2 linked regions of the Schizosaccharomyces pombe genome follow. The protein of the gene in region 1 purifies or fractionates together with the protein of each later gene. This does not show direct contact. Each region holds a gene or a part of one and is shown on either strand. Other genes may lie near its edges.

Region 1 (3,756 bases):
CATTACTAGGAATGCCTGGTGATGGTAGAGCATTAGCTAGACCCGCGGCACCTAGGAGAGAAACAAACAAGCTACCAAAGAATTGCATCGTCACCGAGATCTAGAAAATGCAATAAAAAAACCATGCTCTTTTAAATAGAGATTTAACACAAATTATATCGATTACATAGAAATGATTTCAATTGCCTCTTAAAGATTGATAAAAAAATTAAAAGTTGATGACTTCAACAACCTAGCAGCCCTATCAAAATATGATGGAAGAAAATCGTTGCTAAACATATAGGATGCCAATGACCAACTATGTTCTGGGAATCTTTTCAACTGTCATTATTCCCAATTACGGACTTGAAAGAGGGTAATACTGTTTCTTTTTGAGCCACCAACATTCTTTCTGAAATTCACAACTTCGGCATTTGTAGACTTCCTCTGCAGGAACGCCTTCAGGCTCCCTTAAATTGTGCCAAAATTGATAAGCCTTAGTATAGGAAGCTTCTAATAATTTATTGCTAAAAGAGAATTTGTCTTTGTATACCACTTCTCCTGTTTTGTCATTCCTGTATGCCTAGTAAAAGATGTTAGTAACGATAGTTCAGACAATCATATTACGAAAAGGATTCTAATCATCGTAAAAAAAATTAAAAGTTGTAATGATAACGAAATAATTTTCGAGTTAATTGGTTGTGTCACTTACAATGGTAAGATTGTCATCAGTAAGACGTAAATGCAACTTCTTAGCTGAAGCAAATACGAGTGCATAAAGTCCATTTAGCGAGTTATGACCTGCAAAGACATCTTCAGGAATATCGGGAATTGAAAGAATTGATTGCTCTAAAAATTTCGGCCCCAAGTCCTTGGTGCCGTCCAGCGATAGTTGGCTCAAAAACATGTTCCACCAGTGACTTTGAGAATGAAGTCTGTTAGAATATGTAGGAGAAATATCCCTAAAAATGCTTTGTTGTTTTTCTCCTAGAGAGGGGAAATAATTTAAAAAGAGATGAACGTAATACATTAGTTGTACTTTGGAACTAAGAATTTGTGAAGCTCCAGGCTTTCTGGAAGAAAACCGAGTTTTATTGTCAACAAAACTTAAATCGTACATTTTGAAATTGAAGTAATTGCGGATGTCACTATTAAAATTGCTTTTTGAAGGGTTGTTTAGACTTATTTCATCAATAATGCCAAAAATTGAGGACTCTTTGTAATATCCCCAGATTGGAAACTCTCTTGTAATTCCATTTTTTTGTAATAACATAATACCTTCTAATTGCCTTAATAATCGTAATGCCCATGGTTCCTCCTTGGATGTCCGATCAAGCACTCGACGTTCTGATGGAGGGGAGGTTTCATACTCAAGTATTTGATGCAGCTTAATTCCGCGTTCCATCTTCGGGGTCTTTTTTTTAATTCTTCTCAATAAATAGTATTCATGTTGCACTTCACACCACAAAGGTAAAACAAGGTCAGTAACCTAATAATAGGTTCTGTCAGTAAATGAAAAACATGCAATTGATTAATGCTTGTAAATGATTATGCTAAGAATAGCATTGTCTCAATCCGCTATTATAAATCTGTTGACAAAACCATAAAAAATCATTCACAAACTTCAGAAAGACCTTACATTTAAATAACCTTTGTGTTTTCGAAACAGTTGGAATAATGAACTTTCTTTTAACATTTCACAAACTGAACGTTGATTATTAGCTTGTCTGGTTCATGACTTGAGTGAAATATATCGTACCTTCGTCCTCTAGTTTAGAAATTTCCCTGCTTACGAGCAATTGTGGTGGAATGCTCAAAGAATAATCCAATTGGCTAATAGTCAATCTTTGTGTTTCAAGATAGTCCATATAAGAGACTAATTCGCTCAAATCTTCCATCTCAAAATCTTCATATTCTTCCATAGACTTAATGTTTCGTTAGGATGATTTATTCAGGTGCGGGTTACGTTAGTTCACACATTTAATAGAATAATTCTTTTTTTTAAAGTAACCAACCAGACGGTAAAAAAGCTTTACACTAGTTTTATTAAAATGGTGGAACGTAAATGTCTAGTGTAACCAAAACTAGCAATGTAAACTGTGCTAAACTATTGATGATAGAAGTACTTTCACAGTTTCTTTTCGTTCAAAGAAATTAAAACTTTGAACAAGTAGATTAAGTTTCTGGCAATGTCAAACTACGTTTGTTAATGGCTAATGTTATTGCGGCACAAAAACTAATTATCAGCGATGCTTCAATGTCTAAGATGGAGGTCTATTTCATTATAATTGTTATTAGTAGATTCAAAAACCTTTAATCTAATTTAATTTTGTCATCTAACTCTATGCAAATTGTTTCATAAGATAAATTAAAGTATTTCTCTATTAATTTCCCAGTTCTTTAATATACAAAATTCATTTCAAAAATCCAGAACTCTATAAAAAACCCATGTTTTTCTTATAGTTATCAATTTCTGCTTGGGTCAAACGATCTTGAGATGACCAGTCAGCAGAAGAGCTTCTTGGTCGAAATCGAATCTTCGATCGATCCTTCGATCGGAAATACTCATCCATTTGCAGAGGTTTAATCATACCGAAAATTTTGTCTGGATCCCACTTTTGTTGTCGTTTTAATTGCTCTCGTAACTCAGGTGATTCAGCCCACGATGGTAAATTTACCTTTTTCTTATTACCTTCATCATCTGAATCATCCGAATAATCGCTATTTATTTCTGGTAATTCCACAGACGTGTTAGGCGATAGGGATCCATATCCAGGAAAATAATTCGACTTAGGCGTTTTCAGTAACGGTGATTTAGAAGAGGGCTCCTGCATAGACGAGTTCCTACCTTTAGCTGGAGCGTGCATAGAAGCTTTTTCAATAAAAGGTTTATTTGATTGTGAAGTACTAGAAGATGGAAGCTTTCCTTTCATAATACCATTCTGCTTAGTAAAAGGGTTGACGTTGTGATGCATTGTTTTGAATCCATGTTGATTCGTAAGACCGACATTACCATGTACGGGATTCTTATTTTTTTGTGCAGCTATCTTCTTTTTTCGATCTTCATTCTGACTATTAGTGGTCCCTATATCGAAGTTGTTTCTCAAACTACCAACAGAAGGCTGAGTTACAGAAGTAACTGAGTCAGGCTCCATTTTTTTTGGAATAGTTGAATGAAATGCCAATGACATGTCCTCAGCTAGCTCATTCGCAAACCTTTGAGTGGGTTTCGACGTGACGCGTGTTAACCCAGATTTTAGCATATGCCTTGAAGTTGCACCGTTGTCGGTTAACGGTTTCTTCTTTCGTAAATCTTCTTGTCTTTTTAACATATTTGAATGCCATGAAGCATTCACATTTGATGGGTTAGTAACAAGTCTTTTGGTCGTTGGTTTTTCTGATTTTTCCTCAAATGGCTTATTTGAGTGCATGCTTTTACTTGATGGTATAGCATCTGGTTCAGAACGAGGTTTATCGGAAATAGTATGTTCCATATCCCTAATGTTAGATGAATTGGCTGATGTGACAGTTTTGGTCTGACGACTTGGAAATTCGTTGTTTGATAACTCTCGTTCTTTACCATAGAACTTTTTGAAGCGATGAGTTTCGTTTTCAGAAGAGCGGCTTTCCATATTTGAAGCATTTGCTGCTCCATTTTTTGCTTTTCGCTTTTCAGTTTGCTCAAGTTCGCGTTGAGAGGCTGTGGCCACACGAATTGCAATCGGACGTGAATGCGGAGCAAAGTTGTGATCAGAATTTTGACGAGAATCATCATGC
Region 2 (3,756 bases), 2.6 Mb from region 1:
GAGGAGACCGGTAAACTAGTTGCTAGTCCGAAGTCTCCCAACTTTAAGTTACCATCACGAGTTATAAGAACGTTGGAAGGCTTAACGTCTAAATGAACAAATTCTAAAAGATGAATGAAATTTAATGCCTATGTTCGGTTAGTGAATTCAAATGACGTGTCTGTGGAACGCGACTTTTAAATATGTAATAACTTACTTGAGTTAGTTGAAACAACATTTTCCACACGCGAAAAGGATCCATGACCTGCAATAATCCCAATTCGCTTAAAAATAAACTTAGGTCTCCGTTTTCACAATAATCTAATTGCAAAAATATATTATCATTGTAGCTCCAAACGTTCACTAGATTTACTACAAATGGACATGCTTGCAAGCGTTGCAAAATAGATACTTCCTGTAAGTGACGCTCTTTTCCTGTAAACTTGGCTGCATTTTTTTTTAACATTTTTACAACGTAAACCGTTTCAGTAGGTGGGTTGATCGAAGACACATGATATACAAATGAAAAATCACTCTCGTGTATCGGCTTAACTTGTTGGAATCGAATTCGAAGATCACTAGTCCAATCTTCCTCTTCTTCGTAATCATCTGCGCTGTTGATGTTTAAAAAAATTGGACTGGTAGGTGTCCAACTTAATGAAGAAGGTACGTCTTTCTCATCCCAGTTATTAACGTGGGAACTTGAAAGGAAAATAGGCTGACTCTTGCAAGGCGTTTCGCAAAATTCCAACAAGTCCTCTGAACCATAAGACAAAGAAGGAAGTTCTTCCATTTCAAACGTTTCATCCGAGCTGTCAGAGTTTGGATGATCCAACCGACTAAAAGTATCTAGGTCGATATGTTTACATTTGCGAGCTAAAAGAGAGGTAGTGGGTGACAGCGGAGATTGAGGTGGTTTTAATTTTATTTTCGTTCCCTTTTTACAAGGTGTATGAGGTTGTTCACTTCTTGGATTAGTCAAATTCCCTTCCCATAATGACCACTTTTCACGTTTTGATAACAGTCCTGTGCTTAAAGAAGTCACCGCCCTTTTTCGTTTTAAATCAATTGGCGTTGAAGCATCCACAATTTTTTTGGATAACTTCAAGCCGCTCGAAAATGCAAATGGTTTGCTACACCCATCGAGATCTGAATTCTTAAAAATTCCGTGGCGAACTGTAGTGGATAATCTGATGGCTTTTGCATTATTTTGCATAGGGGTATGTGGACTTCTTTTTGTATTGGAAGGTTTAAAGAATGTCAGTTTTGATGACTTATGGCTCTGATTTTCTTCATGGCCAGACGAAAAATTGTAAATGGGTTCATCGTAGAAATTTAATGGAGAATGCTCATTAAACGAAGAGGATATATTAAAAAAACATGGTGTTCGCGTTGGAGTAATTGGGATGGTGGTTGATGAATCCATCTTTAACTGAAACCTGAATGTAAATAAAGTTATATTTTTTTGCTTATTAGCTGTTAAAATCCCGTTTTCACTTTGATATCTCCGGTTTTCCTAAATAATAAATAATATGCAGATGATAATGTAGTTCAACTCTTCCAACAAAAGGAAAATCACAAAGGATTTATTTCCTTTTGTAGAGAATTAAATAACACTACTATTCTTTTCAGCTTTTAAGGGCTTTTCTATAGCAATGTGTTGTGCGCAAAGGATAACTTTGAAAGTAAACAACCATTGTTGACATGCACGTACACAAACAACACATCTTAAAGTTACGCGTAATATTAAAATGTGTTACGACGCGTCATGACGCGTTCGCGTTTTTCATTTGGGATAACGCGACGCGGCTTCGTTCTTTTGCCTTAAACCAACCACTAATTAAAAAAAAAAGAATTTGCAAACATGGCTGAGCGATTATCCGTGGGTGCACTTCGTATAATCAAGTAAGTTAACTGTCCAAATTATATACTCAAAAGATTTCGACAAATTGGGATGTTAACACGTTTCTTTAGTACATCCGATGCTTCGTCTTTTCCTCCTAATCCAATTCTCCAAGTCTTAACCGTGAAGGAGCTAAACTCAAATCCAACTTCTGGTGCTCCTAAAAGATATCGTGTTGTCCTTTCCGATTCAATCAATTATGCGCAATCTATGTTAAGCACCCAGCTGAACCATTTGGTTGCCGAAAATAAACTTCAAAAAGGAGCGTTCGTACAGCTTACCCAATTCACTGTAAACGTTATGAAAGAAAGAAAAATTTTGATTGTTCTTGGTTTGAATGTTTTAACTGAACTTGGCGTAATGGATAAAATTGGTAATCCCGCTGGTTTAGAAACAGTTGACGCTTTACGGCAGCAGCAAAATGAGCAAAACAATGCTAGCGCACCACGAACAGGTATTTCGACAAGCACTAACTCATTTTATGGAAACAATGCTGCAGCTACAGCACCGGCTCCACCTCCCATGATGAAGAAGCCAGCAGCGCCGAATAGCCTTAGCACAATAATCTACCCAATTGAAGGTCTCTCTCCATATCAGAATAAATGGACTATTCGTGCCCGTGTTACTAACAAATCTGAGGTTAAACATTGGCATAATCAACGAGGTGAAGGAAAGCTTTTTAGCGTAAATTTACTCGATGAAAGTGGGGAGATTCGTGCAACAGGCTTTAATGACCAGGTTGATGCTTTTTATGATATCTTACAGGAAGGTTCGGTTTATTATATATCTCGTTGTCGTGTGAACATTGCAAAAAAACAATATACCAATGTTCAAAACGAGTATGAGCTGATGTTTGAACGTGATACTGAAATAAGGAAAGCTGAGGATCAAACTGCCGTCCCCGTTGCGAAGTTTAGTTTTGTTTCTCTACAAGAAGTCGGCGATGTTGCCAAAGATGCTGTTATCGATGTAATTGGTGTACTCCAAAACGTTGGACCAGTTCAACAAATTACCAGTCGTGCAACTTCTCGTGGATTTGACAAGCGTGATATCACTATCGTTGACCAAACAGGATATGAAATGCGTGTTACGCTTTGGGGAAAGACAGCTATTGAATTCTCTGTTTCTGAAGAAAGTATTCTCGCTTTCAAAGGAGTTAAAGTTAATGACTTTCAAGGACGCTCTTTGTCAATGTTAACTAGCAGCACCATGTCGGTAGATCCAGATATCCAGGAATCTCATTTGTTAAAAGGTTGGTATGATGGACAGGGTAGAGGGCAGGAATTTGCCAAACATAGCGTAATTTCATCTACTTTATCTACTACTGGAAGGAGTGCTGAACGTAAAAATATTGCTGAGGTTCAAGCCGAACATCTGGGAATGTCAGAAACACCCGATTATTTTAGCTTAAAGGGCACCATTGTTTACATTCGAAAGAAAAACGTGTCATATCCTGCTTGCCCTGCTGCTGATTGCAACAAAAAGGTTTTTGATCAAGGTGGCTCCTGGCGATGTGAGAAATGTAATAAAGAATATGATGCTCCTCAATACCGTTATATTATAACTATTGCTGTAGGTGATCATACGGGACAACTCTGGCTCAACGTCTTTGACGACGTCGGTAAATTAATCATGCATAAAACGGCAGACGAATTGAATGATCTACAAGAAAACGACGAAAATGCCTTTATGAATTGTATGGCAGAAGCTTGCTATATGCCATATATCTTTCAATGTCGTGCTAAGCAAGACAATTTTAAAGGTGAAATGCGAGTACGCTATACAGTGATGTCAATTAATCAAATGGACTGGAAGGAAGAGTCTAAAAGATTGATAAATTTCATTGAGTCTGCTCAATAAAACATTGTGTTTTA

Evidence for each region. Proteins that work in one complex are often made in the same cells at the same time.
Region 2: the proteins of exo5 (region 1) and ssb1 purify together in Schizosaccharomyces pombe (co-purification; one study listed by BioGRID). This does not show direct contact.

The regions. Positions count from the first base shown.
Region 1 is NC_003423.3:2,771,029-2,774,784, reverse strand, and holds exo5 (single-strand DNA-specific 5'-3' exodeoxyribonuclease Exo5), read right to left. Parts: upstream 1,933-3,756; 5' UTR 1,902-1,932; coding exon 1,739-1,901; exon of another isoform or gene 1,684-1,738; coding exon 1,619-1,683; exon of another isoform or gene 1,469-1,618; coding exon 692-1,468; intron 563-691; coding exon 338-562; downstream 1-337. Other genes in the region: SPOM_SPBC685.03 (uncharacterized protein), read right to left, coding at 1-88; INCENP-like protein Pic1, read right to left, coding at 2,415-3,756.
Region 2 is NC_003423.3:219,348-223,103, reverse strand, and holds the start of ssb1 (DNA replication factor A subunit Ssb1), read left to right. Parts: upstream 1-1,805; 5' UTR 1,806-1,843; coding exon 1,844-1,884; intron 1,885-1,953; coding exon 1,954-3,742; 3' UTR 3,743-3,756. Other genes in the region: M phase inhibitor protein kinase Mik1, read right to left, coding at 1-128, 197-1,405. UniProt on the Schizosaccharomyces pombe protein: As part of the replication protein A (RPA/RP-A), a single-stranded DNA-binding heterotrimeric complex, may play an essential role in DNA replication, recombination and repair.